Linked DNA regions of Rhinolophus ferrumequinum. The protein of the gene in region 2 purifies or fractionates together with the protein of the main gene of each other region. This does not show direct contact. Links are inferred from orthologs where the notes say so. Each region holds a gene or a part of one and is shown on either strand. Other genes may lie near its edges. The genes, in order: RPUSD3, PRR3, DHX37 and METTL17.

Region 1 (7,953 bases), on a different chromosome or scaffold from region 2:
AACTGGTATCTTCATGCCCAGGACTCTGAAAAATTAGCTTGACTACAAATGACTTGGAAAGGCCTCAGAATCTAGAACAGACACTGGGCAGAGTTATGATCTTCATGTTATGTAGACCAGTCTGATTGGTCCAAAGTAATACTACAAAAATAAAAGGCCTTGTTAAATGAGCTTGAATTTTGCATGAGAAAATAGAGAGATTGTGGACATCTCAGTTAAGATACAATTGCAGGTAATGCCTGTAGCCCCTTTCCCATTTGCTGAAGGAAGGCAACCTCTGTTCCTGTTTGCACATCACTCTACAAATGATGAAATTATGAAGGGAGCATGGGGAAGGAAGTATTTAGGGGATGCAGGCAAGGGTTTTCTTTGTGTTTTGACTCTACTACCTTCTCATTCCACCCAGGGAAGCTCTTCGCTGGGCCCTCTTTAGCATGCAGGCCACAGGACACGTTCTGCTCGGCACCTCCTGTTACATGCAGCAGCTCCTGGATGCCACAGAGGGAGGACAGCCACCCAAGGCCAAGGTCCCATCCCTCATGCCAACCTGTCTGAAGATACTGCAATGAAGGCCCAAGTCCTCAGAGGCTTTCCCCAGCTGAGGACTAGACTGGGGACCCCATGCGCAGCTTGTAGCACCCAAAAGCCTGGCAGAGAGCTTGTTGCCTCCCCACACCTCCCTTACCCCCACAGGACCGTGAATGTGGAAGCAGGGGGAAGGGCTGGAAACCTGGGGTGGCTGACCAAAGGGTACTGAGGCTTCTTGGCCTGGCCCAGCTCCTTCCTGCACAAGGTAGCTTAGCTGACCAAGACTGGTCACCAGCAGGCTAGGCATGAAGTCTGCCCTTAGACGCCTGTCTTCACTTGCTATACTTTCATTACACTTCCTACCTCCTGGCTCTTATCCCTAATACTCCTGAATAATAAGGCTCACTAATGTATTATATGAGAGAGTTCACAATAAATGAGTTATGGTAATACATCTTCTTTGCCTGTGTTCTTGGGGAATGAGGGTGGGATTCTATCTGGAAGGTTGAAAAAGTCCAAGGGAAGAAACAAATTTATTGTCAAATCATTCTCTAAAATGTGGCATTACAGGAAACAGCACTTCTTCTGCCAAAAAAAAAAAATTTCAGTTGATTCTGGAACTAATGTCTGCTTAATCAAAGACTTGAGCAAACCATTTAGTCCATAAAATAAATAACAATTTCCAAAACAAATTTGCCTATCAGAAGGGCTTTGATTGGCAGGGTGGGATTAAGGCACTCTTCTAATTTCTCATTGTTGCATTTTATTACAACTTTTAAGTGTTTAGGTGGGAATGTACTAACCAAGGTGTAATCCAGCTCTCCAGCAATGTCTTCCCTAGCTTGCCAGGCAGTTCAGAACTTTCAATCTTAGGATTTCAAAACAGCTGTTAGCCACCACAAAGAATATTAATTTCTCATTAGTGTGGGTTTCAATAGAGAGCAACTCAAACAAGACAAGCATGAAAAGCTAGGTTTGTAGGTGATTGTGCTTTAATCTGTGACTCAGATTTTAAAATGTGTCATTTCTGACCATTACCATGAAGGCTATTTGGGTTTATTAAAAACCAAAACAAAGGCTTGCGTTACCAAAGGTAGAGCTGGAGAGTTATTGCTGGCAGTGGACTCAGACCCTGCAGCCATTTATGGGAGGAGCTGCCAGAGCTAGCAGAACACTTTCTATTCTGGGCTTTCCTGCTTTTGCAGTTATGGCTGGAGCCCGGGCTCAGTGCCATCCTGTCTCCATGGGCTGGGCCTTCTGACGTGGAGGCACGATGACCAGAAGCTATTCCTGGTCAACCCTTGCCTAGGCTGTGGCCTACCTGCTCCTCCTATAAAGTTAATCATACACTGAGTTGGCTGGGGTGACAGAAGCTTGGAATTTGTCACCACACCCCCTCCTCCTGAGATTCAGAGTTTCACAAGTGCGTTGAGTGACCAGCTCTTGGCACTGAGCCCTTCCAGCCCAGGAAAAATTAGTTCTTGCTTTTCTTCGAGGAGCTCGGAGGCGAACGGAGTCACACAAGATGTGGGCAGTGAACAGGAAAGGGCAGCCTTTGATGAAGCTGTGGTGTGTGGAAAACTCCAAAGAGCAAGGGAGCTCAAGCCTGGGCAGGGCTAGGGGCCAGTCCAAGTTGGGGACTGGCCCCTCCGGGAGCCAAGCACCGCCAGTGGAGGAGAGGTGTGTTGCAGTTAAGGCAGGCTGTGTGCCAGCCCCACGGCCTTAGTCTTTCCATCTGGCTCAAAGCTGCTGCTTATGAATGCACAGGAGACCTTCCAGAAAAGAGATTCTAAAATACCCTGGGGCCTTTTGACAAAGCAGAGTAATGTCCTACCCCAAGCCCAAAACAAGATAAAAACACTTGTAGTCTTGCCAAATATCTTGCCAGTCTTTATACAGAGGGTCCCAAGAAAATGTATACACATTTTAAGAAAGGAAAAAAAAGTATGAAAATGTAATACTATATACCGATAACAAAAGATGAATACAAGTCATGTGTATATATTTTTTGGCAACCCCAGTACTTATGCATTATCTATTTAAAAATTGATTATTTAAATATTTGAATTTAAAAACAAGTTTCTTGAGATATAACTTACATACAATAAAATTTACCCTTTTAAAGTATATAATTTAATTAAATTTTGGCAAATTGATACATTTATATAACCACCACTTCCAGCATGCCAACGGCTCCCTTTCTAGTCAATCCCCATCCTCCCACCCATCCCAAGCCCTTGGTAACCACTGACTATTTTCTGCCAATATAGTTTGCCTTTTCTAAAATGTCATTTTAAATCAAATCACCCAATCTTTTAAAAAATTTAGTTCTACCCATTTTTATTTTAAAACACTTTTATTATTTAAAATTTTTTATGAATCTTACAGTCTTTTATATCTGGCTTAGATTTTTAAACTAGGGGTGTGTGTGTGTGTGTGTGTGTGTGTGTGTGTGTGTGTAGAAGAAATAGATCAATGAGATAAAAAAACTTAAGCAGTTTCAAAGGGTAAAACTAATTGTTACTTATCTTCTCACCTCTGATTCCTTCTCCAGAAGCAACCACCATCTCGTTTTGTGTGTCCTTTTAGAAATGCAGGAGTACATGAATATAATATATATAAATCACACACACACACATATGCAATCATGCACTTCTTAACGACGAGGATTTTTCTGAGAAATGCATTGTTAGGCCATTTTGTTGTTCTACGAGCATTATAGGCTGCACTTACCCAAACTTAGGTGGTATAGCCTACCACACATCTAGGTTAATGATATAGCCTATTGCTCCTAGGCTACAATACAAGCCTGGATAGCATGTTACTGCACAAAACAACATGAGATTAAGCACAAGAAAAAATGATGCAATCAAGAGAGGTGGCGAGCATGAGGTATGTGAGGCTGCTGCTGGTATAACATGGCATACTATTTTACAGCTAACTATTTTTTATAAGCAGAAAGAGTACACTCTAAAATAACAATAAAAAGTATAGTATAGTAAATACATAAACCAGTAAAATAGTCATTTATTATCATCAACTATTATGCACTGTACATAATTGTATGTGCTATACTTTTATGCAACTGGCAGCGTGGGTTTGTTTACACTAGCATAGCCACAAATGCGTGAGTAATGCATTGTGCTATGACGTTGTGACAGCTATGATGTCACTAGGTGATAGGAATTTTTCAGCTCCATTACAATCTTATGGGACCACTATCACGTACGTGGTCTATAGTTGCCCTAAATGTCATTACACGGCACATGACTGTATGTATACAATATATGCATATTCTAGTCACACTGTCCTGCACTTTGCTTTTTTGACTTAATATATTCTGGAGATTGATTCATATCAGCACATGTAGACCTACACATTCCATAATGGACTGTATGTGCTACAATTGACTTAGCCACACCTCTGTTGATGGATTTAGGTTAATTTGAAGTCTTTTGCTAATGCAAACAAGGAGTTGAAAGTTACAGTGCTCTTAGTAAACAAAATAATACAAAGGTTGCATGTAATTTCTCTATAGTTGTAATTACAGGATAGACTCCATTTTGTTCTTTGCTTTTTTTTTAATTAGCTCATTTCTCCTGTTGTTCCCTCTCTCTGCCTCCTAGTGAATTTCTATTAGTTCTTCACAACCTGTCAATCACAACCCATGCTGGGACACCTTTTCTGACTTCACCTTCCCTGTCTCCTCTCTTCTCTCAGCCTTTTCCCAGGGTTTAGCAAGGTGCGTCATGATGTTGTGATCTGAACTGTGTCCCCTTGGTTTCATTTCTTGTGCGTAGGGCCTAGGTCTTGTTGATCTGTGTTTCCAGCTCACAAATGCCAGGGCCTGGCATAGAGTTAGCATTTAAAAAAATGTTGAATGCATTAGATTTATTTCCCCTGTAAAGCTAGCTAATCACAGGACAATTTATGTTCCCAGTTTTGAGAGTTGTTTTATTTGTGCTTTGATAAATAATGCTGTAGTGAATCTTTTATCTTTTTCTGCCTCTGGCCTTTTACTCTTTTTGGATTATGCACCAGGCTGTTCTTCCACGCAGGGTCACTGGACCAAAGGGTATGGATGTTCCCCGCCCCCCCGCCAATTTTCTTGGATCATATTGTGCACAACACTGGTTTTTTTGGTCAGAAATCTCCTACGAATTGAAATGGTAATCAGAAAACCTTAACCTCTCGTCTCGGTTTTGTCCTGAGACAGGTCCCCTGACCCTGAGAAGTTCCTTCTTTGCCCTATGCCTCAGGTTCCCCGAAAACATAGGCACGAATCTCATTCCTGGGCGAAGGCAAAGCTCTGCCTGCTCACGGCTCTAAAGCCCCACCTTCTCGCTATTCCGATTGACAGTCAATCTGACCAATGAGAGAGCTGTGGGCGAGTTGGGGCGGGGAGGGGGTGCAGACACATGCGCACAGTCCTGGCTCGGAAGATGGGTGGCTGCCGTATTTTGGGCCGCGTCTCGGGTAGCTGGCGGCGAAGGCCAGAGATCCACGCCGCTCGCAAGGCCGCAGGCTTTGGCTCCGAGGCCCGGTGATTACACCGCCTCCCACTTCGTGTGGGAGGGATGGTGGGGCTGGGGGAAGATGTGTGCGGGATCTGGAGTTAGGAAGATAGGGGTTCTCATTCTGGCTTTGCTCTGTGACCTTACACTAGCCTCTTGGCCTCTCCCAGCCTCGGTTTTCTCGTCTGTAAAATGGTACCAATCAAACCTGAATTTTCGGAGAGCTCAGCCCAGGCTTTCTGAGGCATTTGTTAGGATTTGGGAAGAGGTGTGTGGCGCTAAGAGTGGGCAGTACCTCTGGAAATGAATGATTCCCCTGTTGCTTACCTCATCTTTCCCAGGCATCAGCTGCATCCCCGAGGCTCCAGCAAACGGTCGAGGCCCTTGGAGAACCAGCGCTTCCCAGGGCTGTTGCAGCCAGAGAATCTCAGTCGGGAGCAGTTGATTGATGCACTGAGGGCATGTGTGTTGGACCAGAGAGGTGAGGGTGAGAGGGAGCGCTGCGCAGAGCCGCAGGAGAGTAGCCTCCCTCCAAGCCTTCCGGGGGCTGTTTGGGCTCCCCACTGAAGCCTCTGGGGTCAAGTCCTGGTTTTGCTTCCCATCACTGGCATGATCTGGGACGAGCCACATCCTCTCTCTGAGCCTCAGCATGAGGGTGGGGGTGTGGGGTGGGAGGGTGTAAAGAACTAGAGAGTCTCGAACACAGTAGGCACGCACGCCCCAGTGGGAATTGCTCTAATAAATTGCTTATTGATGGACAAAACACTGTCTTTGGAGTCAGATGTGGGCTCTGCAATCAGCTTGCTTTGTGGCTTTAGGAAGAAGACAATTTCTCTGAGCCTCAGTCTTTATTCAGTGATTTATTCATTTTCTCAGCTATTTATTGAGCATAGGCTATGTTCCAAGCACTGTTCTGGACACAGCCATACAGTGCTGAACAAGATAAATACGGTTCCTGCTCTCAGGGAACTGACATTTTCGTGGAAGAAATGGATTAAACAGGAAATAAAGAACAAGATACTTACTAGTGATCAGTGCTGTGAACGAAACAGGGTGTTATGCCGGTGAAGAACGGTAGGAGCAGGGCAGACATTAGATTGTGGGTTTAGGCCTCTGTGGTTGAGCTAAGATGAGATGAAGAAGCCAGACATGTGACAATCTGGGACAGAGAAAACATCCAGTGCAAAGACCCGGAGGTGACAGTGAGCTTAGCATATGCAAGGGACAGAAAGAAATTCAGGTCAGGGTGTGGTTAATAACTCATGTCTGAGAGTTGTCGTGGGGCTACATGATAAGATGAATTGAGAAAGTGCTTTGTAAACTCCAGCTGCTGCTTTTGCTGTTAGTGATGTTCATGTAACATATGTTTCAGGACCACTAGTGACGCTGAACAAGCCACAGGGTCTGCCAGTGACAGGTAAGGGCAGGGGACGGAGATGCACTAAAAGGGGGTTTGATGTCTCTGAGGGAGGGAATAATGAAGAGAAGGGGATGGTGGGGTAAAATTGCCTCTGGGAGCAATTTGTATTTTACCTTTTTTCCCCCCCAGGAAAACCAGGAGAGCTGACATTGCTCTCCGTGCTGCCAGAGCTGAGCCAGTCCCTGGGGCTTGGGGAGAGGGAGCTCCAGGTTGTCCGAGCATCTGGGAAGTAAGTGGTGGGGGCGATAGGAAGACAGGCATCCATCTGTGTGGTTGGGGAACCGTTGCTTGAAAATAAGCCAAGATATTTTCCACAGCTGGCTTGGGATCACAGAAACAGGATACAAAGTAAAGGCGGGAGCAGACAGATCTAGGTTCAAATCCTCAAGTACAAGCTGTGATCTTAGCCAAAGCATGAAACCTCACTGAGCCTCAGTTCCATTACTTAGAAGATACAGCTACTGACCCCTATGCTGTGTATATAGTCACTTCTCCAAGCCCACACTCATGGCACGTGGTCCATGATGTTCTTTCCTCTAATAGCCATCACTTAGAGATGGTACTTGAGAAGAAATATTTCTGCAATTTCACAACTCATGGGTTTATCTGTGGGGAATTTAATTATTTAAGAGCTAATATATATGAAATTACTAGGATAGTAATGCACATGGTCAACTCTGAGAAATTGGTAGTAATTGTTGTGATGTTTGGCTCTGAGCTCCCTGGGGGCCAGGGTAAAATGAGAAACACATTGAGCTACATAGCCCTATTATAAAACACAGGAAGCTTCACTTGTTTCTCAGAAGGAGGTATGGGTAATACTCTGGTGTTGCTTTTTGGCATTAAGCAGGTCAGTGTTCCTCCCTTTCTTGTGGGTGAGCCCAAAGGACTTTAACTTTTGTCATTTGTCTCCTTCCTCCAGGGAGACCTCTGGGCTTGTACTCCTCTCCAGTTGTCCCGAAACAGCAAGCCGCCTCCAGAAGTTTTTCACCTACTCACAGAGAGCCCAGAGACCCATAGCCACCTACTGGTAAGTGGTGCTGGGAGGCAGCATGGCAGTGGGGAGCTCCCAACAAGCTACTGTGACCTCCTCCTGCCTCTTCCGTAGGGCTGTCACTGATGGGATCCCAGCTCCTTCTGAGGGGAAGATCCAAGCCGCTCTGAAACTAGAACACATTGAAGGCGTCGATCTTGTGAGTCAGGGTCTGGGTGGGGAAGGGGAGGAATCTCTGACATATTACCCCTACAGAGGAGTCAAGGGTACAGACTGGGGGTGGCTGGCTCTTCTGTCCCCTAAAATAGGCAAGTGAGCACTGCCTATACTATGGCCCTATCCTGAGCCTATTGGGAGCAAGGAGGGTTTGGGTGTAGCTCCCAGGTATGTGTGAATTCTTGGAGGCTGACATCACAGGTAGTTCCAGTGAAGTCCCCATCCCGAAAGGACATCCTGGAAGGTGTCAAGAGGACCCTCAGCTACTACCGTGTGGTGGC
Region 2 (7,927 bases):
ACATCATGTTTGTGAGATTCATCCAAGTTGCCTGTAGCAGGAGCTCGTTCATTTTCAGTGCAGTGTAGTATCCCATTGCATGCACACACAACAACTTATTTATCCATTCTAGTGATGGTGGACATGTGGGTGGATTCCAGTTTGGGGCTATAAGGAAAAATGCTGCTATAAACATTTTTGTACATGTCGTTACACATATGTATGCATTTCTGTTGAGTATATATACCTAGGAGAGGTATTATTGGGTCCTAGCGTATATGTATGCTCAAGTTTAATAGATAAAGTTAAACTTTTCCCAAAGTGGTTGTACCAATTTATACCGCCACCAGCAGTTCGTTGTTTCATTGCCTTGACAACACTTGGTATTAATCAATCTTTTTCATTTCTGCCATTCTGTTGAGTGTGAAGTATTTTTTGTTTTTGTTTTTTAATTTGTGGTAAAACATGTAACATTAAATTTACCACCTTAACTATTTTTAAGTGTACCTCTCAGTAGTGTTAAGTAAATTAACATTGTTGTGCAACACATCTTCAGAACTTTCTCATCTTCCAACACTGCAACTCTATAGCTACTTACAACACTCCTCTTCCACTGCCACCCAGCCCCTGGCAACCACCATTTTCTTTGTGTCTGAATTGAACTACTTTAGATACTGCACTTAAGTGTAATCATACAGTACTTTTCTTTTTGTGACTGGCTTATTTTACTTAGCATAATGGCCTCAAGGTTCATACATGCTGTAGCATGTGACAAGACTGTCTCACTTTTGAGGGGATGAATAATACTCCACTGTATAAACATACACTTTGTTTAGCTATTCATCTGTCAACAGACATTTAGGTTGCTACCATCTCCACTATTGTGAATAGTGCTGCCATGAACAATCTCTTCCATGCAAATATCTCTTCAAGATTCTGCTTTCCATTCTTTTGGATAAAGACCCAGGAGTAGAATTGCTGGCTCATAAGATAATTCTATTTTTAATTTTTTGAGGAACCTTCATACTGTTTTTCATTGTGTACCACCGTGCAATCCCACCAACAGTGCACAAGCGTTTCAATTTCAAAGTCGTATGTTTTTATCTTGCATTTATTTATCGACTAATGTTCTTGTTCATGTTTTTTGGGTCATTTAGGTTGCGGTTATGAGGTGGCTATTCTGGTCTTTTGCCCATTTTTCTAACAGTTTGTCTAGAAAACTTCTATATATATTCTAGAACAAGCTCTTTATTGATTACATTTGTTGCGAGTATTTTCTACTCTATGGCTCCCTATTAATTTCTTAATAGTGTCATTTGATTAATAGAAGTTTTTATTTTCTAGTGTAGTTCAGTTTATAAATCTTTCCTTTATGGTTGATGTGTTTCCTATCTAAGAACTCTTATCTACTTTAAGACCATGAAATATATTTATTTTCTAGAATTATTTCTTTACCTCTACACTTAGATTTAGAGTCCACTTGGAATTGATGTTTGCATATGGTATGAATAGGTCAAATTTCATCACCCCCACGAATATCCAATTAATCCAGCATTATTTACTGAAAAGACCACTATGTCAGTTCCATCTTCATCATAAATGAAGTGTCCGCGTATGTGTGGGCCTGTTACTGGACTCTTTATGCTATTCTATTGACTCATGTGTCTACCACTGCGCCAACACTACACCGTCACAACCACTATAGCTTTACAATAAGTCTTAATATTCACAGCAACCCCTCGCACTTCAAGCCTGCCTTTGCAATCTCTTACCCTGATCCTTTCATTTCCATATAATAATGTTGAATGTTTATTTCCACACAGACACACACACACACACAAAATAGGGATTATAATTGGGAATGCATTGAATCAACAGATCAATCTGGGAAGAATCGACATTTTTTACAACACTGAGTTTTCCAATCTGTGAATATACAACATCTCTTCATTCATTTAGGTACTAAATTCTGATCTTTTGATTTTAAGTCCTTCCTGGGTTTTAGTCCCTCTCTTGCTCCCTTTTCCAGGACCTAATAAAAAGATCAGGGCCCCTTCCTCCTCACCTGACTTGGGGTCACCAGGCTTTCCATTGGCCATGGGGGGAGGGCCCAGAAGGCTGGGTGGTCCTAAGAGTAGACATGAAAATATGGTCATCATAATGGACTAAAGGACTGATGATCCTATTCTTAAGTTTTTATTCTATTACTCATTTCTTAAATCAACCAGTAAAACCAGGTATATTCTCAGCTGTGTTACAGGTTTTCACCCCATCTATCTGCTCTTTCCTCTGCAAAAGTGTTCAGGATTGATTGGCAAGAAGTGGAGACTCGGTCAAGGGGGATAATGCGGGAGGAATACCTACCTACGACTCTTTCCCTGACACTGTTGCTACCCAAAACATCCAGAGGTAATCCAACCCTTCTCTAATTGGCCAGATAGCTCCCCTCCGCCCCTGTAGTTTAGAGAAAGATACACTTCCACCTTCCCTGTGAAAGTCTGGACACAAATTATCCTGGTCATGCAACCTGCAACCTCTCTAGGGCCGAGCTCTTTATCCTGTCCTCCCCTGCCTTCTTTAGAAAGGTTTAGAGGCCAGATTGAAGTTGAGGGTTCAACTCTTTCAAGGCTCCATCCGGGATAGGCCCTCCACCCCCTGCCCCAGCGCGTGCGCCCTTCTTCCTTCCGTTGGAGCCCACTTCCTCGCACCTTTTCAGCCCCTAACCCCTCGCCCCGACCGCTGGCAGAAATGTGCACACTCCTCCCGGGCTCCTCACCGATGGGAATCCCATCCTCTTCGTCTTCAGTCTTTTCCCGCTTTAGCAGTGGGAGCTGCTGCTGCGGCGGCTGCTGCTGCTGATTCTGCTTCTTTCGTTTCGGCATCGTGGTTGCGGCAATGGCTGCAGCGGGATTTGGAAGACGGTGAGGAAGGGGCACGCTGAGATTCTGTTTCCGCTTCCGTGGGGGCTGTGGACCCGAGGCTGAAGCTCCCACCATTTAACTTCCGGAAGGCTGCAGGGAGCCTTTGTGCAGCTCATTTTCACGTAAGCTGCCACCCTCTGTTTCTGCCAGAAGGCGTAAATCTCAAACTTTCCCTTCGTTGCGCTTCTATAAATGTTTTTAAAAAATTCCTCTCTTCTCCCCTCGCTGAAAAAAACTCCACAACCAGCGCTCCACAGTGTGCAACACAGTTCTCAGGCTCTCCGGCGGGAAGGTCTGAGAAGAGGGCTGTCGCACGCTAAGATCGCCACATCCGGTTCCCGGTTACTATGGTAACAGCAGCAGGCACAACTTCGTGACCTCTGACCTCCCCCCAAAGTCCTTGTCCCACCAGGGCTTCCTTCCTCACCCACCCTTGCCCTGTGATCTGTAAACCTGCTCCTTCTTATCCTCCACCAGGAATTTGGGTCCCAGCAGGGCGGTGTCCTGGACGCTTCAGACCGCCACCAATCCTCAAGACCTCTGACCCTGCCCCCAGTGTAAAACAGCAACTGGGCTCCATTCCCCCGCGCGCAGCCTCGGCTTCCACTCCAGGTCAAGCCCGGGGGCAGGCAAAGCAGCTCCGGCGCGTCCACGCCTCTCTTTCCCGCAGGTGGTAGGACCCGCCCCCCGCTCCACCGCCCCCTCCAGGTGAGTGGTAGCTTCTACCAGACGCGCCAGGTGGTGGTGACACGCGTCCCCCCTCTATCGACCGTGAGTTGGTAGCGTCCGTGACGATGCGAGCCCGATCCTCCCACGCGCGCCTCCTTCCTCGCGGCCGCTGCGCCCTTTCCGTGCCCCCGGCTCTCACATGCGGGGAGCCCACCCGACATCATCTCGCCTAGCTCCGGGAGGGAAGTGACTGTATTTCCGCCCCCCTTCCTCCTTCCAGCCCAGCTACTGGGGCAAATCGGCCGGGCCCGCCCGTTGACGTCACCTTCTAGCTCCGCCCCCTCGAGGGTCCCGGGCCCTTGCGGCGGGGACTGCCCGGGGAGGGTGTAGTCAGTTGAGGCGGCGGGAGCTCGGCGGAGGGAGGGCCAGGTGACTGGTCCGGGCCATGCCGAGGAAGAAGCCCTTCAGCGTGAAGCAGAAGAAGAAGCAGTTGCAGGACAAGCGGGAGCGGAAGCGAGGTCAGTGCGGGAGAGAGAAGAGGGGGCGGGGCTCGGGCTCCCGCACATCTAAAAGGAGGGGTGTGCCCGCCGCGCCTCTGGGGGGCGTGGGAGGGGGTGGTGGCCGTGAGCCGTCGCGCGCGGGTGACCGCAGAGGGGATTCCCTCACTCCAGTCCCCCTACATGGAAGGGGTGGGGAAAGATGGGGAGTTGGGGGAGGGGAATCCCTCCAGCTCGAACGGGCAACATCCCTGCAGATCCCTGGAGGAGGAGTGACTACCCCCACGCACATCTAGGAGGGTCCTCAGCAGGGTGGCTGGGAGAATCGGGCCTCTGAAGAAGTGGGGTGGGGTGAGGGGAAGCCAGATCCAACGGGGAGGGGGTCTTTTGGCCCCTGAGAGCCGGGCAGCACTGGCGTCACCGGCTCCTCCCCTCAGGGCTTCAAGATGGGCTGCGATCCAGTTCCAACAGCCGCAGCGGGAGTCGGGAGCGGCGGGAGGAGCAGACCGACACCTCGGACGGGGAGTCTGTGACCCATCACATCCGTAGGCTCAACCAGCAGCCTTCCCAGGGGCTGGGTCCGCGAGGCTATGACCCAAATCGGTGAGTGGGCGGGGGGCACTGGCCTGGCCTTCCCCGCCTACCAGAAAGTCAGAGCACTGGGGGCTAGCCAGCAGCCGCTGGCTTGAAACTGGAGGTGGTGTGGCTGGGATGCCACAGTTCTCCGCGGGCACTGGGCTCCAGGGAGCGGCCACAATCTTCCCTTCCGGAGGGGCTGGAGAGAGCTTGGCTTTTAGAAGTACAAGACTTAGGGGAAGGCTGAATATTGCGGGAAAGAGGGAGTTGGAGGAGGGCCTACTCAAAGGACAACCTTGGAGAGAAAGCTTTGGTAAGTTGTCTGCCCAAGAGGGGAGTCTTTTTGTGGCCACAGGATTGTAATGGATGCTGTGGTCCTTGTCCCGTTAGATACCGGCTGCATTTTGAGAGGGACAGCCGGGAGGAGGTGGAGAGGAGAAAGAGAGCAGCCCGGGAGCAAGTGCTGCAGCCTGTCAGTGCTGAAGTGCTGGAGCTGGACATCCGGGAGGTCTACCAGCCTGGCTCAGGTGGGTGAGAGCTGGCTGTTGGTGATAGGCACTGGGCTGGGGGAAGGGCTGTGGAGGAGTGAAAGCTGACTGTGAGGAAGGAGGGGTTTGGGATGCACCCTGCAGTCCTGACACGATCCTCAGACTCCCTTGGGCTTTTTATTGATTTCCCAGTCCTGGACTTTCCCCGACGTCCTCCTTGGAGCTATGAGATGTCCAAGGAGCAACTAATGAGCCAGGAGGAACGGAGCTTCCAGGAATATCTTGGGAAGATTCATGGGGCTTACACCTTGGAGAAACTCAGCTACTTTGAGCACAATCTGGAGGTGAGAATGGAGTGGGGACAAGAATAGGGTGTAGTGACCCAGGGTCAGATTGGTTTGGCGTCAGGCAGGAAAGGGACTCTGGGCTCAGGTTCTCTTCTGCTGACCTTGTCTTTTCAGACGTGGAGGCAGCTGTGGCGAGTGTTAGAGATGTCTGACATTGTCCTGCTTATCACTGATATCCGACACCCAGTGAGTACTGGGATAAGGCTGGGAAAGCCGGAGGTGGGGGTGGGGGGACATTCTTGTGGGGTCAAGGGCAGAGGCAGGAGTTGGGAGACAAAGAGGTATCCTTCTTCCTTCACATTCTCGTGTACCCCGTGCTGATGTCTGCAGTCAGGGTTTCAGTCCTTTACTCACCAGTGTCCCAGACTGTCATTCCTTCCCTGGCTAACTGACTCTCCTCTCTTATTCTTTTGATGAAAAACTACACATCCTGTTTCCCAGCCCAGCAGAGTTAAACCAACAGAAGGTCCTAGAGTGGAGCTCTAGGGGCTTCCATGAAAGCAGCTGGGGGCTTTCCCGTGCCCTGCCCATTAGTCAGCACGAGGCTGACCTGGAATGCTGGGGTAGCGGTTAAGGCTCCAGACTCTGCTGCTGGATGGCCATTGTGTGACCCCGCTCTGCCACTTCCTGTTGTCCTCCAGTGGGAGAAAGGGAGGGTCTGTGGGGATATGCAGGTTGCAGATCCGTAACGGCGTGCACACACGCACATGCCTGCGCAGGTGCACAGGTGCTTCTTACCTCTGCTTTGTCTTCCTAGTTCAATTCAGCTAATTTACCTGTTTTGCCCCAGAATCTGCCACCTCCAGGGTCTTGTCTCCAAGCTGTGCCTGCTGAGCTAGAGGCAGAGGACTCTGGGGTGACCTCCCATTGCTCATTCCCTTGCCATCCCTGTCCCAGGTTGTGAATTTCCCACCAGCGCTTTACGAGTACGTGACTGGAGAACTTGGGCTGGGCCTGGTGCTGGTCCTGAACAAGGTGGACCTGGCCCCGCCGGCTCTCGCGGTCGCCTGGAAGCATTATTTTCACCAACACTTTCCCCAGCTCCATGTCGTCCTTTTCACCTCTTTCCCTCGGGACCCCCGCACCGCACAGGACTCTAGTAGTGGTGAGTGGCAGTGAGGAGGGCAGCATGGGAGAGATGGGGTGGCAGGGGACAAAGGGAGAGCAGAGATGCTTGTTGACAAGGGGGCACCAGATCTTGGACCGAAGGGCGGTGAGACAGGTGGGGTGTGCTAACCCTTTTGTGTTCTCCGATGTCAGTCTTGAAGAAGAGTCGGAGGCGGGGGAGAGGATGGACTCGGGCCCTGGGGCCCGAGCAGTTGCTGAGAGCCTGTGAAGCCATCACTGCAGGGAAAGGTTTGTGCCTCTTAGAGGGAGATGTGACAGGTCATCGGGAGACCCAAGGCCCAGAGTCGTTTTACTCACCTTTTCCGAAGTCAGCTCCTCTATCCTGGCACAGGCGAGAGGCTGGGGGAGGGGTGGAAGAGGGAGCAGACCGACTTGGTGGGACAGGAGAGGTAGCAGGTCGGCAGGAGCCCCAGGGTCGCTGCCTTCAGGCTTCCCAGGACTTTTCAGAAAACTCAGAGAAATGCATGTGATTCCAGGGTGGTGTCAAGTGAAGGCTGGGGAGAGTCGGCTGTGGTGCAGGTTGGCACTACTCAACTCCAGAGGGCACCAGTTCCATCAGCTGTGCAGTATAGTCTGTGCCGTCACGTACAGTGGCTCTGGGGAGAACCTTCTTTGTCTTCTTCCCTGAGCAGTGGACTTGAGCAGCTGGCGGGAGAAGATTGCCCGGGATGTGGCTGGGGCCAGCTGGGGGAATGGCTCCGGTGAGGAGGAAGAAGAGGATGATGGGCCCGCGGTGCTGGTGGAGCAGCAGACCGACTCGGCCATGGAGCCGGCCGGCCCAGCCCGGGAGCGCTATAAGGACGGGGTGCTGACCATCGGCTGTGTGGGTAAGGGAGCAGTGCCATGCGTGGCGTGGCGGCCCCCGTGTTTGGAAAAGAGGGGAGCTGATCAGACGTCATTAGGCTCCAGGTCTCTGGAGGCCATGTGCCGTAGTGGAAGGACCATGGGATGCCTGAGTTAAATCCCACCTCTTCTTGGTTGATACTGATTTTGAACACGTATTTACCCACTGAGTTTTAAGTACTTTGGATTTTAAAATGGGAATACTGATACGTAAGTGAAAGAACAGATGTGAGGAGTGAAGGGAAGAGGAAAGAGAGAGCCTAACAAAGCCTGACAAGCAGTGATAATGGCAATAGTAACTAAACATTTGTGTGGTACTTAACTATGTGCCAGGCACTGGACTAAGTGACTTGTATGTGTTAACTCTGGAAGTTGGAGTAATTAGTCCATAGCAGAGGGGCCATGAAATCATAGGGGGAGCTTAACAAGTATTAGTTTCTTTCTTGGTCTGAATCCTTTAAATCTGTTGTCAAGGAGAC
Region 3 (7,580 bases), on a different chromosome or scaffold from region 2:
AAACAAAACTTGCTAATGGGCCAAGTCTAATCCTCGGCCCCTTGACGGCAACGTGTGTGCAAAAGCTGGAAGAACCTGTAACACAGGACCCCACTTTGCAGGGAAACACGGACATCACTGGAGTAGAAAACTCTGCTGTCCTGCTCCTCGCAGGGTTTTTAGCAGCATCTGGGGCCTCTATTCACTGAAGCATTACAGAACGTAGGCCACCGCACACGTCTTTTCTCTGGAAGACTTGTCACCCGAGAGTCCGTCCCCAGGGGCCCTGGCAGGAGGGATGGGCTTCGGAAGTGGCCAGCCGACTTACTCTTTGGTGTGGTACATGCGGACCCCAGTGCCCAGCTTGGACGTGGTGTAGTAGAGTTTCATCTCCGCTTCTGAAACCTGGACCTCACTCAGTTTCTGTAGCATCTCTGCTCGCTGGGGAAGGACATGAGCGCGTTAGACATTTGGCATCACGACTCCCTCTTCAGAAGGGAAGTGAGACGCTCCACAAAATTTCAGCATGGCCAACACCCTGTCTTTTTAAACCGAAGGTCAAACTGCATTGCACTGCTGCGTGGTGTTTTTACGCCAACAGACGTGTGAGCTGGAAGTGGCTTTGTACCCCCTTACAAAGTCTGGGATTGGGTAAACAAGACACTCTCTGCATCACTGTGTGGCATAGGAGAAGACTGTCGAGTAGACAGACGCCCATCCATGGGAGACGGAATAAATAAAGGAGAGCCCATCTGTACAAGGCAGCACATCCCGCCGTTACTACAGGGGCAGCTCCGCGTGACAGGAAGGGGTCCCCACGCTGTCTTGAGTAAAGCAGTATGTGGGGACGGGCCCAGTGGTTTCTTTCCCCTGGTGATTCATGAGTTTTTGTCTTATTATTCTTGAAATTACACGTATTTTATATGTGCTTCTGTATGTCTATTTCACAATCAATAAAAGGAAAAAACAAGGTACTGGACAGCAGGAAAAATACTGCACAGGATTTTAAAAGGACACACTCACCAGAGAGTGAGTGTCCCCTGTAGTAAGGGCTCCAGGGGCTGAGCGTCAGTGCTAACGGTTGACCTGTGTGTCCCCTGCTGGAGACCCAGCACCCTGCTCACCTTGAGAGAAAGTCAAACATGAATTTCATGAAGAAGCCTCGAGATTGGGGTTTCTCAGTCTCCCCATTTTTGGACCTCCCTCTGGCTCCATCTCTCTCTCACTCTCTCCAGTCTGGAGAGCCGTGTGCAGACGCTGACAGAGTGGGCATACCTGGCTCTTCTTCTCCTTCTGTTCTAAGATTTTCTGCAGCACTTTCCGCTCTTTCTTGGTCAGAGGCTTCTTCTTCTTCTTGGACAGCGGAGGGGCCTTGGTCTTCTTTTTCTTCTTCCCCGGCAGGACGAGCACGTTGCTGTCGTCAACTCCTTTCAACGTGCCCTTCTCTGAAAAGACAGGCTTGCTTGACCGACAGACCCAGAGGCCAAGGAATGCCAAACTCAGGCACTGGCAAAACTCAGGATTCCATTAATGCCGGTTTCCTCTGGGGACTCCTGCCCCACCTGTGAGCCCCTGAGTACCGGCACAGGGGGTGGCGGCGTGGGGGAGTGCGGGCCCAGCCACCTCCATCCCAGTGCGGGTGAAGAGGGAGTACCAGTAAGCGGGGTACAGGCTATAACAGTGCTTCCCTCGGAGTGGGGCCTGCGCTGAGTGGGTATGAAGTCCGAGCTGTTTTCGTAATACTACTACGACGTTCTCTACAGAGCATGCAGCGGACCAAGTACTGAGTTTGTGTCATATCTATTTTTAAATGTCACAGTTTGAAAGTATATAATGTAGATCAAAATTCAGCTATCATATTACTCTGCAACTCAACTTACTGAAGCACCTTGGGGTGAGGGAATCTTGGGGAGTGCCCTTTTGTGTGCAACATCTAACACTGGAGTTCCCCCAGCAGCGTCCTATAAGGGCCCTACCTGATTCTTCTGTTACCCGTTTGGCTTTGTACATCTTTTTGTACATCACAAAGTGTAGGAGAGGGTATGTGGCCCTCATTAAGAAAAATGAGACAATTTTAAGCAACGCAGCTACTTCCTGGGGCCACAGTCCTCGCCATGACCCACAAGCCTTCCATGAACCTGCCCTCATTTTTAATTTCATCTCCACTCAGCCATTCTGGCCACCTTCAGACCTTGACTCAAATAATGCTTCCCCGCCCCCTCTATGAAACATCACAACCCACCCAAACACCTCTGCGGCTTCCTTTCCTCAGGACTTATATCCACATAACATTCTATATATTTTACATGTGTGTCTTTGCCTGTCTCCTTCCAAAAGCAGCTAAGCTCAGTAGGGCAGAAACTTTTCCCCCCTTAAATCTTTTCTGTTCTGTCTCCTGCGCCTAGAAGTTGCTGGCACTTGTAGGCGCACATGTTAAAATACTGTGTCTAGCAGCCCGGGGCTGAGCAGACAGGTCAGGGATTAGAATACAAACTTAGGAGTCGCCGGCACGATCATAACAGAAGCCATCGGGATGGCTGAAATTAACTTATTTTCTTGCCCCAAGTCCCCATGCTGTTATACTAGGGCTGGACTCTAAGCGAGGGAACACCCAGGTATCGGTCCGAATTCAGTTAAAATTTGCCTGCCACTGTCCCCCACTCCTTTGTATCATCTTAGAGGGGGTGCTCCCGCTCCAGGTCCTCCCGCCCCAGAGTCACGAAAGCTAGACACAGGCCGGGAGCCCTTCGGCGCCCACTGGCCAGCCCCGGCCGCGAGGCCCTGGTCGGCCCCTCCCCCGAAATCAGCCCCCGGGACGCCTTACCTTCTAGTTCCAGCCGCACGGGGGGCGGCTCGGGGGGGCCCTTTGAGGAGCCGGGGGCCGCCTGCTGGCGCCCCTTGACGTTGTACCGCCGGTGCAGCTTCCCCATGGCGCCCCGGTCCTGCTCGGCTCCGGCGGAGTTCACCCGTGGGTTGAACCCAGCCCTCGTGGGTTCCCAGGATACCCGCTCAGGTCGGAAAACTTCCGGGCTACGCTCTCGCGAGAGCTGGGACTAACCTGGCCCCCGAGGGGCGGTGCTGGAGGCGGGGCCACGCGGAAAAGCGGGGCCGGGCCAATTTAAAAGAGTGTAGAGGCCTGCGGTCCCAGCAGAGGCCTAATTAAACCCAGGGTTGTTCTCACGTGGTGTAGTCTGAGTCTCTGAATTTGAATTACCTACTACTACTAATTGGGCCACTAGGAAGTGGGAGTGTTTTGTCACCTTTTAAAATATACCCCCATCCCTAATACAAACTTGTTCCTTTTTTTGCTCATTTCTTTTTTTCTGATATTCCTGTAACATACATTAGTTGTGTAATAAAAAGGGACTAAATATTTCCATTACTGGGACACAACTAAAAGGAGAAAGCATCTATTAGCTTTAAACTCTCATTACACATCACATTGTCTGCAGCGCACTCGGAAATAATATATTTTCTGAATCCTGTAATTATCTTGTGAATAGAACAGTAATATCATGTCGACTTTTTTTTTCTGTTAAAAGTATTAATTCGTTAAGGGCAAACATTTAAATGATATCACAAAGAAAGGTGAAGGCGCTAGGAGTCATTTTAGAATTTTTGAAAGGATAAAGTTATTTTTTTTAAAACTGTCCCAGGAAAAACATTTGAAGAATCTAGAATAAGATCTGGCTGCAGAGTAGGTAAGCAATAAATAATTGTTGAATGTAGGAATGAATGAATGAATGGTGTGATTGAATTTGGATAAGCGTCCCCACCTCCCCCCAAACAAAAAACGAGCCACCACAAATGCACAGTTGGTGCATAAAGATTTAGGTAGCACACATATGAACACTTTTTTGAAGTTATATATTAATTTCAATGGTTTTTGAAAAAAAGTATAATTAACATATCAAACTTGTATTTTCATTCTTTAGGATAATAGCGATCCAGTTTCTTCTTTAAATGTGTTGATTAAATAAAATGTGTTCATTTTTCCTATATTTTCCTCTAAAATATTATATACCAAAACATTATCTTTAGAAAAGATAAAGAACATTCTATAAAGGAAGAAGAAAAAGACATATACACAACATGGATCTCATAAATATAATGTTGAACAAAAGAAGCCAATCAGAAAAGATCATATTCTGTGACCCCATTTACATAAAGTTCAAAAACAGGCAAAACGAATCCCTTAAATTTTGGAAGGGGCTAGTTAATGGGAGAGGATAAAGGGAACCTTTCTGGGAAGCTGGTAATGTTCCATTTCTCCATCTGTGTCCTGGTTACTGTCCCATACCTGTCTTGTCAATTACCTGGGTGTTGTTTAAATTCATAGAGAGACACCTTATGATTTGTGTATTTTTGCTTGTATGCTATTCTTAAATTTAAAAGTTTACTTTAAAAAATGAAGGTAAAATACATGGCCAATAAATATATTAAATCCTTATCAGGAAGCCAGAAAAATAAGATACAATTTTTCACTCTTTGGGTTGGCAACAATTAAGTTTTATTTTGCAAGCTGTCTCAAAAATGTCTGGTTAGACACGGTTTGTTTGATTTAGGATGCAAACAGGCCCCTGCATTGCATTTGGTTATTATGGCTCTTAGGTCGTTTAAAACCAATAATCCTCCCCTCCCTTCACTTTTTATACCATTTACTTATCGAAGAAACTGGATCGTTGGTCCTGTACAGTACTCCCCATTCTGGATTTGGCTGACTGCTTCTGCTGCTTCTGTTTTTTTCTCCATCCCCTGTATTTCCGGTAAACTGTTCGTTAGATTTAGGGGCCAGATCAGGTTATGGCTCAAAGGGTTTTGGCAGGAATCCATCATAGGTGGCGCTGGTACTTCCTGCTACAGATTGGCGGGTCCAGGGCTGGACAACTTGGCCCCTCCAGTATCCAGTTCCCCACCAACTCTCGGTTTTAATCTCTGCATGATCGTCGCCTGGACCTATCATTTCATTACCGGCTGCAAAATAAGTTTCTAATTATGTCACTCCTTCCTCACTTACTAGCTGGACTTTTCTAAAAAGAACTTTCCCTCAAATATTTTGTGACTCTGAATGAAATACAGTTCTTTCAGTAAGGCAAGAAGGATGCTAGATGCTTTCCCTTTATTTAAACATTTCAGAATTAATGAATGAGCTGGTGCCGTTGCCATCGGCAACGGTGGCCAATTATTGGGTACCATTAAGTTCAATGATACATCTATATGTATATATATATTTCATGTTTTCCAATCAGTTGCAGCCATTTATCTTTGTTGAGGCTGTGGCAAGTTTTCCAGGCATGGGTTGCATTTTACGGAAAAGCTAAAAATAAAAATTATTTAAAAAAAAAAAGATTAAAACCTCACCAGGTCAGGGAGGGCTTCTGGAGGGTGGGGCGGGGAGACAAAGCAACCTCAACCTAGTCCCGCGGGCTCCGGCCAGGTCCATGGCTGGTCCCCGCGTCTGGGGGCGGGGCCAGGCGTGGGCAGGGCCGTCGCGCCTTTGCGCGCGGGGCGGGGCAGGTGGCGCAGCAGCGGCAGCGGCGGGCACCAGCGCGGCGCGCGGTCCTCCAGCGCGCCTACGCGGTCCCCGCCGGAGCCGCGGCGTCCCTCTGTAGGGCCCTCACCCTTCTTCCTGACCCCTGCATCCCGCCGGCCCCAGGATGGGAGCACGCGCCTCGGCTGGGCCCCAGGCCCGGGCTGGGCTCCTGCTGCTGCTGCCGCTGCTGCTCGGGCTGCTGGCCCCCGGCGCGCAGGCGGCGCGGGGCCGAGGCGGCACCGAGAAGAACAGCTACCGCCGCACTGTCAACACCTTCTCGCAGAGCGTCAGCAGCCTGTTCGGCGAGGACAACGTGCGCATCGCTCAGAAGGTGGGTGTCGGGCCCGCGCCCGCGGTCACCTTGCCCCGGCCGCCGCGCACCTGGCGCCGGGGCCGGCCTGGGCCGTGCGCGGCCTCCGCGGCGTGGAAGAAGGGTGCCCAGTCCGGGGACGGGGGTGGCCGGCCTGCGCCCCGAGGCCTGCCTGGCCAGTGTCGGCTCTGGTGGCCGGTTCCGGCTTGGGGCCAGGTGCAAAGCCGCGGGGCGCCGTCTGTTCCACGCTGCACTTCTCCTTGGACCTTGCCCCCTAGGGCGGAGCAGCCGGGCTTCTCCTGGGCAGCGCTGACGCCGACCGCGCCTCTCATTCATTCATTCAACACGTTTGAATGAACACCTACTATGAGCCAGGCACCGTGCTGGGTGCCCAGGGGGCGCCCTGCCCGCTTGCGCCCTCTACCCACGCTGCTGCGCTCTTCTCTTCCCCTGAGCACCTTAGGCCCTCCTCCTCCGGCTTTTAAGATGTTTAGGCTTCTTTCTTTCTTTCTTTTTTTAATTTACAAGAAAAGAAAGGGAACGATGCGTACTGTTCTGTTGCTTTGGCAACCTGGCTCATTAACCCTCCTGAGCGCCTACTGTGTGCCAGGCCTTTTACTTGAAGCGTTTTGTTCACTGTGAAGCCGTTTAGGAGCCTGCAGCCCCCTGAGGTGATGTTGAGACCTCAGAAGGAGCTCAGGGAGGCTCCCCACTCCACGATTGGTCCGCTGGAGCTGGGTGGGATAGGCACGCAGTTCGGGGCAAAAGGCCACCAGTAGCTCCCCAGAAAGGGGAAGTAAATGGGGGACAGTTGCATGTGGTAATGTGGTTCCTTGAGTACTGCTCTTGCCCTCCTCTTACTCCTTTGCGCGCGTCCTGGCGTTTTGGAATGGAGAGAAGTTTGGGTTGAAGTTTGGGCTCTGTTATTTGGCTTCAAGTTCTGGCTCTACTACTTACATGCCTGATGGCTTTAGGAAAGTGGTTTCCCTTCTTTGAGCCTCAGTTTCTTTATCTTGTTAAATAGGGATAATACCACCCCCTTCAGTAAGAGACTGATTGTAAGTGGTGGGCCAGAGTAATGGCTGAGTTGGTATCAGCTGCTGTTGGCAGTTCCACCCTAGCTAGGGTACAAATCAGCATTGCTGAGCCCTGCTGGAAGGACCTTCAGGGTTCAAAAACGTTTTCTGGTGCTTGAGATGGAGGGGGAAAAAAGAACCTTGAAACCCAAATCAGACTGGCTGGATATTCTTACTGGATGAAATGAAAGACAGGTTAATTTTGTTGGGGAAAGGAACGTCTGACCATCCTCTCCTGTGGGTGTGTGGATGCCTCTTGGGGAGGCTGTGGGTTCGGAGGAGAGAACTCTTTGTCGGTGGTAGAGGATGTGAGCAAGGTGAGACTGCCTGCCCTGGGCGATTGGAGAGCAGAAAGCATTTGTTTTAGAGCAGAAGGAAGTCTTACTTCTTTGTGCAGGATAAGCAGAAAGAAGCGATGTGTCAGCTGAGGGTTCTGTGTGAGAGTCTGAGGTCCACGGACATGAATAACAATACCGATGTGCAAGGGCCTATCTTCTGGGTTGGGATCAATAAGACAGCGGTATTCTGGCAAAGAATCTGAGAATCTGGGGGTCCGAAGAATTCTTTTAGGGGTCAACCAGAGTTTGTGCCTCCAACAGAGATGATGGTAATACTATCTCCTGTTATTTCCTTAAAAGGCGCAAAGTACTTTCATCATTAGAGTAACTCATTTAATCCTTAG
Region 4 (7,808 bases), on a different chromosome or scaffold from region 2:
TAGGAAACTGCTTATAGCTCTAAGGCACATGGAGACAAATCAGAGAGATGCCAGGCAGCTAACATTGGATACATACTGTGATTTGTGTGATTTAAGTATTTTTAAAGGATGTCTCATCCTGAAGTAAGTTTGTTTTGACATAGTGTTTTCACCTCACCTTGTCAAATTATGAATATATTGTTCCTTTAAAAAAAATCTCATAAACATGTTTATTTAACTCTTGTTTTTAAACATGTTGTTGAGAAACCATTTTAAAAGTAGATTTGTGTTTATATCTGAAAAATGAGTAATGTAAACATGTTGTTTGTTTTGGGGAGGAAGTCTGGAAGAACTGATGAGGATCTAGTCTCAGGCTCCTAGCTGCAGTCATCCTCAATCCCCCCTAAGACTTTTAGCAAAAAGCCTGAGCATCCACCCCATCACCGAACCTGGAGCATAAAGCACCAGTCTCCCTGAACTTCTACTGGGAAAGCTGAATCAAGTTTTCTGCAGACCAAGACCCCAAATCTTTGAGGGCACTCCAACTTCTTTGTGCAGAAATGGGGAAGAAAATCCTGCAGGTGGAGGTCACTGATGGGCATCAGCCCTAGGCAGCAGCAGCAGCCTGGCACAGACACACTGACTGTTCCTGTCAAGTTGGTGTGTGTGTGTCCCTATTTCTCTACTTCACACATTCACTTGCTCCCTGCTCAGCTAAGTAACAGAAATAAATGTTGCATTAATCAAGTGTGTGTGTGTCATATTTTCTCTCCATATTGCCTACACTTTGAAATCCTGAACCTAAAGGTTTTACACTTAACCTTGAGTTTTTACTCAAAATAAAACACATATCCTTTCTTCTTGTAGTTCTTGGCATGCTGAATCTGTGAAAGCCTGTGCAAAACTTGAAGGAACTGTCCTTTGAACCTATCTGAGGAAGTAGAGCTGGAGAAGTGGATCTGTGTGGCTCTAGAGAAGCTATGAAAATGCACTCCTCAGACCTCATGGGAATCATAATTGACCAATGGCCCCAACAGCCACACTCTGAATCTGCTATGCTTCCCATGGGCCACTCTCAAACAAAGACTTAGTGCAGCAGTGATACTACTAAGTCAGGCCCATTTCTACAAGATGCAAGACTCCTCTGATGGTTACCTTGGGCTCAAAGAGTCTCCATAAGGCTGGCTGAAACATTTCTAGAACTGTTCCTACCAATCCATTTGCTTTCCCTCCCTCATTACAGTCTGACTCTTCCTGCCTCTTTTGGCTTCCTCTCCCTTATCCCCTCACAGGTATTTCTCCCAATAAATCTCTTACAAATCTAATCCCACCTTTAATGTCTGCTTCGCTGAGAACCTACACTAACACAGACATGTCCACAAAACAGATTAAAAATGTAAGCCATGATTTCAAAATAAGCTAAGAAAATAATCCAAGACATGAAAGAATAATATGCACCAAAATTTTAAAAAATTCAGGAAAAAAAATGTGACACAGGAAAAGTTACAAATAAAAATCATTTAAAAGATAAAGACTGATCTAGAAGCAATTGAACACAACAAATGATGGCTTAAGAGAATTGAAGATTTTAAAAAACAGCAAAAAGAAAGAGATTTTTTTTAAAGGTACTATTTAGGACCTTTATGGCAGAATTTCTTTAATTTCCCAATAAACTTATTCCAGTTGCTTCACACCTTCATTGTTAAGGGTTTCTCTAAATCTAATTATTAGCTACCTCCCTTTTTCATAAACCCAGTGGAGAAGACCAGTTGATCATTATCCATCTCTAACCAAATTATCCAAACCTTCCTTAGAGAATCTTTTTTATTTTCCTTTGCTTAACTTGGAGATCGGGCATTTCTCTTTAATACTGTCCAGTTTCTCCCCATTGACATCTGTGCTGCTTGTTTCTTTGTTTGTTTTGTTTGTTTTGTTTTGTTTTAATGCAAAGCCAATAATTGGAAATACTACCCAGGTCAAAGTATGACCAGTGTTGATATGCAGAATTCATGGATGAGGAATGAAATGGGTTCATCTGTGCTGTAGGGGATTGTGACCTGGTCAAATAACTAGACTTGGATCCTCAACCTAGTCTATCCTAGGCTTTTCCCAGCATGAAAACAAAGAGTGGTCACTTAATCAACATCATCAACAAATATTTATTAAGTGCTTTCAATGTACAAAGAATCATGTTCACTGTTTTAGATGTTTTATGGACATCCTCGATTCATGGGGAGAGTGGTATGGAAGTTTTGCTTTGTTTTGTTTTTATGAACAATACTTTGGATTAAGAACAAAGACATAAATTTAGGTCTAAGTCAGCTTTTGAGATGTATCACTGAAGGAAGGGAACAATTTCAATTAGACCAGTGTCAGAATGAAGGAAGCCACATCTATGTTGGCAGTTAGATTAAAAACAACAACAACAACAACAACAAAACACCAGGAGGGATATTTAGAGGCACCACCAAGTCCTCCTGCTCTTTACTTCTTAGTCACCAGTGCTCAATCTTACTTGGCCCCAAGTAGCCCCAGTTTCAAGCCCATCTTGGAAATAAGACATGAATTCATAATAAAAATTAAAATATGATTATGTTCCTTCAAGCTCCCAAAATACATGTGATAATACGTATGATAATATCATAAACATTGAATGTTTACTTTGGCCAAACACTATCTCATTAAGTCCTCACTCCAACAACCCTGTGAGGTAGCAACTATTATCTTGCTGCTCTAGAACTCAAATCCAGACTGCTGGATTCCAGATGCCAAGTATCTTAACCCTATGTTCTGCTACCTCCCTATGACAAAAAATTAACATAGCCAATCTTATGTTCCAGCTAACCTGCAGTGACAGGAATATTTTATTTTGCTAATACTAGCAGTCCTCCATATCCATGGGTTCCATATCTGTGGGTTCAACCAACCAGGAATCAAAAATATTTTTAAAAACAACAACAAAAAAAAACCCCAGAAACTTAATCCCTAAACAATACGGTATAGTAAATATTTACATAGCATTTACATTGTATGAGCTATTATGAGTAATCTAGAGATAATTTAAAGTATAAGGGAGAATGTGCCTAGGTTATGGGCAAATACTATACCATTTTTATATAAGGGATTTGAACATGGAAAGATTTTGGTATCCACGGTGTGGGGACAGAGTCCCAGAGAGCAGCAGTTTCCAGGCTGTCCGCCTTGTGTGGGGAGGTGATGGCTCTGATAGTGAATGACCATCAACTGTGATTGGTTGGCCATCAGCTGTAACCGGTTGGCCAATTAGCTACTGATGTAACTGCAGGGCTGCATTGATTGGTTGGTTGGTTGGCAGGCAGGGAAGTGAATGGTGGACTGCAGATCATGTGGCTACTACTGCATGTGTCTCGCCCAGCTGCCAGAGAGAATATAGTCGTATGACTCCCCTACCTATGGCTCCGTGGATGTTCCTTTTTGGCCTAGCTACATCCTGCGTTCTTATGTGGGGAACGGGAGCAGAGACCCCGCAGGCTGCCCCACAGGACACATGGCACAGCGAGCAGGATCTCCCGCATGACACATGGAGTCCTGGAATCAATTCCCGGTAGATACTGTGGGATGACTGTACTTGAGGCAATAACTTAAAGTAAAAGCAATGTGTCACAGAGATGAGGCTGTGTGGCAGTGTGAATCAAAGTGGGGCGGGGGGAGAAAGAAGGTGGTGAACTTGAAAGGGAGAGCAGTGAGTGGGGAATTTACAACAGCTGTCCTAAGCAACCCTCAAGTCTTCTTCCAGAGCATTTGGATTATACAGCAAAGGCCTCCTATATTAGAATCAAGCTTAATAACCTAAACGCAAACCAGATATTTAACTCTGCAAGTGATATAGTTACCCATATTTTATTCCATACTTAACATACTTGGACTCTTGCAGCTACAGCAAAGGCCATAGGTTTGTTTACCCATCCAGTCACCAGATTAAGATACACCATAGCTGACTAACGTGTTTGCTATAGGAATCGAGTGAGTTCATTCTAATTCTACATGTTAATTTAACACTTCATAACATTTAGCATATTGTTAATTTGCTAACTTACATTCAAAATACCAACAATATGTGGTAGGGCATATGTTTAAAACTGAAGCTGACTTAAGACTGCCTAGGTTTGAGTCTAGTTTTCATATAAGCTTTGTGATCTTGGGCGTGGTATTTAACCATTTGAAGACAGCTTTCTTCAGCTGCAAAATGGAGTTAACAACGATCTATTTCAGAAGACTGGGGACTAAATGAGGTGAAATGAGGGGACTAAATGAGGGGATTGATATTACTTGAAAGTGTGTTAGCTATTTATCTATGAAGACCAGTTTAATATGAAGAGAAACTAAAATATAAAAAGCATTAAATCTATTAATTTCCGTTCTTTTCCGTCGCCTAAATCTGGCTTTTATCTCTTCTTTCTGTTACTGCATTTTCCCCCTTTTCAAACGGAGAAGAGAACCCACTACTTCAGAGTTCTCCAGAAAGAAAGAAAATCAAGGGAACGCAGGCAGTTAACACATCCAGAAAACAGCCTGCCAGTCTACAGTGCGTTCCTAAAGACCCAGGGTAGGGCACGCCACCACCCCCTATCACCCCGCGCCCCTGAATTTTCGGATGCGGAGACCAGTCCCAAAGAAGCCTTGAGGCCACCTCGCTTCCGGCGGGTTCCTGTAGCAGCGACGTCCAAGTCCCACCCACGCACTCTTACACTTCAAGGTGATTTACATATCGATTGTTTATTGGCCACTCGCATGCACTCGCTCTCCTCATTGGCTGATACTGTCCCATGCCGTCATTCCGGGGAGGATGTCCGCCTGGGCGAGTGAGACTGAGGGTCACAGATATCTACATTTCCGTTTCCGGTTCGCCTCCGGCGCCATGGCGACCAGGAGCGGCCCGAGGTGTCTTTTCACATTAGGCAGATGGCGTCGTGGTCTTGGTGTAGCTCCGCAGTCCCGGGTGAGTGCCTATTGTCACTGCTTTGGGAGAGACTGGAGCTCTGACACGGGTCTGCTCCGAGGAGCGCTCCCGGCAGCCCCTCCCTTAGCGAGCGCCCGCAACCTTCTCTTCCTGCCCGGCAATCAGCTTTTCTTTTCCGGCTTGCAGGCTCTCGCTGCCCTTGTGCCCGGCATATCCCAGGTGGATAACAAGTCCGATTTTCTGGGGAAGAGGCCCCATCGCCGGCACCCCGGCATCCGGCAGCTGCCGCGGGTGCGGCTGCCTCAAGCACTGGCTGACACCGCGCAGTTACTGTTGCTCGGTGAGTAACGGTAGGAAAGGGAGGCTCGAGAGCAAGCGGAGACTGGGCCTTCATGCAACTGATGCCGCTTTTCATCTTTGGCCCATAGAGAATCCAATACCCAATGTGGAGAAGCAGGTGCAAGCACTGACCAATTATCTCTGGAGCCGGCATGTACCCGTAGAGCCAGAGGAATTGCAAAGGCGGGCTATGCATCTTGAGAAGAAAATCCTGGAAAACCTAGGTAGGGTTTAAGAATAACTAAAAAGTAGGTCACATTGAAATAACAATGGGAAATGAAGAGCCAGAAATAATTTTAGTCTCTCAAATAGATACTACAGTTTCTTATTTGACTTTCTGGGCGGTTATTACAATGATGCCTTACTAAGAGGAGCTAGATTATTCCAAAGATTGCCCTCCCGGCTTTGGTGAAGGTCAGTGAGGGCTTTAATATCCTGTTGAAATCTAGGTCTTTGTTTTTTTTCCTAACAAATCCACTGGATTAGGACTAAGTTTTTATTCAACTGAAATAAAGCCCCTGTATGGCTCCCTGTCCAGTGCCAAACCCCTCTTGAGGGACAGGAGAATAAGTATAATTTGTCAAGTTATTATTTTCATGATTGTGAGCTCCTTCATATTACAGACCCGGCTTGTTATTCATCTTGTAGTCCCTGTATTACCCACAGTACCTGGCTTATAGTAGGCACTCTATAAAATAGGACTGAACTGAACGCTATCATGAGACTTAAAGTTCCTTTCCTCCGTGTAGGAACATTAGAGACGCACAATCTTAAGTTTTGGGGAAGTGAGGAAATGTACAAAATACTGTCCTTATCCTATTTTGTACATCTTTACCACGCTTCCCTTTAGTATAGAACAAAACCCGTGGGATGGGGTGAATTGAGTTGAATAATCTGCTGTTAGAGGCAAATTACTGTCTGATACACTCTAGTGGTAGTGGTGGAGGTCATTGTTATTCTCACCAGGTTTGGCTTCCTTAAGCTTTGAGGCTTTTCCCGGGTAGGAGTTGGGGCGGAATGGGCAGGCAATAAATTCAAATATTGGATCTGAGCCCTGTTCATCCTAGGTCCTCACTTCCAGTGCTTGTTCTCACCCCAGACTCATCTCAGACAGAGGAGAAACTTCGTGGAGCAGTGCTGCGTGCGCTGCGTAAAACTACCTACCATTGGCAAGAACTGAGGTAAGAGGGACTAGAAGGGTTACAGAGGAAAGAAAAGTTTGACTTTTCAAGGAGAATTGGAGAAGTACAATTACACAATTTTGTGTTTGAAAAAGCTACCTGGTTTCTAAGGCTCCCCAGGACTTTTCCTGTGTTGTAGTGTGAAAGTGATAACATGGAAGAACCCTTTCCAGAGATTTCATTTCCTAAAAAATCTAGAAGCAGCTATGGAATAGAGATTATTTCCCAGTGGACATGACTCTCTGATTTTTCTGGCAGCTACAATGAGGGACTGAGCCTGGTGTATATGGCAGCAAGACTGGATGGTGGCTTTGCAGCAGTCTCCAGGGCATTCCATGAGGTGAAAGCCCCTCAGCTTCCAACCTGAACCCTTTTACCATCGGTTCCCTTATAAAGTAGTCTTCTGGGGTAGGATTCTTGGGACATTGCATGTGCATTTTTTTAAGGGGCTCTCTTTATCCTCTGAAAGGATTTTGTGACCTAAGAAAGGTTTAGAGTCACTGTTTTAGGAGCTTCCTATTCTATAAAGTATTTAAATTGAATCTCAAAAGACATTCACATCTCCTCTGTCCTGGTCTCCTAATCATATTTACCACGGCCCTAAATAAGAGTCTGCTTACCCTACTGTGGGGTGTTGTATATTTCTTCAGATCCAGACTCAAATTCCAGAGTTCCAACCACAAACCTTGATGGACTTTGGATCGGGTACTGGGTCTGTCACCTGGTGAGTATCTTTCTCTTTATACATTCTAGTTTTAGAGAGCCATGCTTACACCACTCCAACATCAAGAGACTGGGGAATCAAGAATAGGAAAGTTGGGAACTAAAATGTTTCTTCCCTCAGGTTAGGCAAGGCATGAGAAGGTTTATAAATTAAGGCCAAAACTTAAATGTCAGGTGAAAAAGGACCGTGTATAGAAAGATAAAAAAGGAAAGGAATTTAGGGCATAAGTTTTGTATATCATCAAAATTTTTGTCTACAAGTAGTGTTTGAGTCTGCCTTTTTTTTTCTTTAAGGAGTTGTAAATGAAATAAGAAAATAACATTGTTAGTTTTTCCAACTATTTTAATATAACACTTTGTTTCCCCAGGGTGGGGTTGGTGGTAGAGGGATTTCTTGTAAGAATGACTTTTTGTCATGAGAACTGCTGATTTATATTTTGCCATCTTAGGGCTGCTCATAGTATTTGGGGCCAGAGCATACGTGAATATATGTGTGTGGACAGTTCGGCTGCCATGTTGGATCTGGCAGAAAAGCTACTGAAAGGTGAGCTATAAGGAAGGACTTTCCAAAGTTGAAGGAGTTAATAAAGCAAAGTAATACTAGAAATAACTTTATATTCAGGAGTAAAGGAGTGGGCTAAAAGTTA

The links.
Region 1: the proteins of PRR3 (region 2) and RPUSD3 purify together in Homo sapiens (co-immunoprecipitation; 3 studies listed by BioGRID and IntAct, with this or other methods). This does not show direct contact. The link is inferred for Rhinolophus ferrumequinum from reciprocal best matches to the Homo sapiens genes PRR3 and RPUSD3.
Region 3: the proteins of PRR3 (region 2) and DHX37 purify together in Homo sapiens (co-immunoprecipitation; 3 studies listed by BioGRID and IntAct, with this or other methods). This does not show direct contact. The link is inferred for Rhinolophus ferrumequinum from reciprocal best matches to the Homo sapiens genes PRR3 and DHX37.
Region 4: the proteins of PRR3 (region 2) and METTL17 purify together in Homo sapiens (co-immunoprecipitation; 3 studies listed by BioGRID and IntAct, with this or other methods). This does not show direct contact. The link is inferred for Rhinolophus ferrumequinum from reciprocal best matches to the Homo sapiens genes PRR3 and METTL17.

What each region holds. Positions count from the first base shown.
Region 1 is NC_046300.1:44,073,603-44,081,555, forward strand, and holds the start of RPUSD3 (mitochondrial mRNA pseudouridine synthase RPUSD3), read left to right. Parts: upstream 1-4,946; coding exon 4,947-5,071; intron 5,072-5,383; coding exon 5,384-5,523; intron 5,524-6,414; coding exon 6,415-6,459; intron 6,460-6,591; coding exon 6,592-6,691; intron 6,692-7,384; coding exon 7,385-7,492; intron 7,493-7,570; coding exon 7,571-7,655; intron 7,656-7,860; coding exon of another isoform or gene 7,861-7,873; coding exon 7,874-7,953. Other genes in the region: CIDEC (cell death activator CIDE-3), read left to right, coding at 407-569. UniProt on the Homo sapiens protein: Catalyzes uridine to pseudouridine isomerization (pseudouridylation) of specific mitochondrial mRNAs (mt-mRNAs), a post-transcriptional modification necessary for their translation.
Region 2 is NC_046286.1:1,191,945-1,199,871, reverse strand, and holds the start of PRR3 (proline-rich protein 3), read right to left. Parts: upstream 3,004-7,927; 5' UTR 2,976-3,003; coding exon 2,756-2,975; intron 2,108-2,755; coding exon 2,045-2,107; intron 148-2,044; coding exon 1-147. Other genes in the region: GNL1 (guanine nucleotide-binding protein-like 1), read left to right, coding at 4,015-4,087, 4,504-4,669, 5,033-5,169, 5,323-5,474, 5,592-5,663, 6,375-6,582, 6,738-6,833, 7,238-7,432.
Region 3 is NC_046308.1:3,412,452-3,420,031, reverse strand, and holds the start of DHX37 (probable ATP-dependent RNA helicase DHX37), read right to left. Parts: upstream 3,005-7,580; 5' UTR 2,910-3,004; coding exon 2,804-2,909; intron 1,425-2,803; coding exon 1,255-1,424; intron 421-1,254; coding exon 308-420; intron 1-307. Other genes in the region: BRI3BP (BRI3-binding protein), read left to right, coding at 5,637-5,843. UniProt on the Homo sapiens protein: ATP-binding RNA helicase that plays a role in maturation of the small ribosomal subunit in ribosome biogenesis. Required for the release of the U3 snoRNP from pre-ribosomal particles.
Region 4 is NC_046289.1:71,894,818-71,902,625, forward strand, and holds the start of METTL17 (methyltransferase-like protein 17, mitochondrial), read left to right. Parts: upstream 1-4,804; coding exon 4,805-4,957; intron 4,958-5,104; coding exon 5,105-5,258; intron 5,259-5,346; coding exon 5,347-5,481; intron 5,482-6,356; coding exon 6,357-6,438; intron 6,439-6,696; coding exon 6,697-6,778; intron 6,779-7,088; coding exon 7,089-7,162; intron 7,163-7,610; coding exon 7,611-7,705; intron 7,706-7,808. UniProt on the Homo sapiens protein: Mitochondrial ribosome (mitoribosome) assembly factor. Binds at the interface of the head and body domains of the mitochondrial small ribosomal subunit (mt-SSU), occluding the mRNA channel and preventing compaction of the head domain towards the body.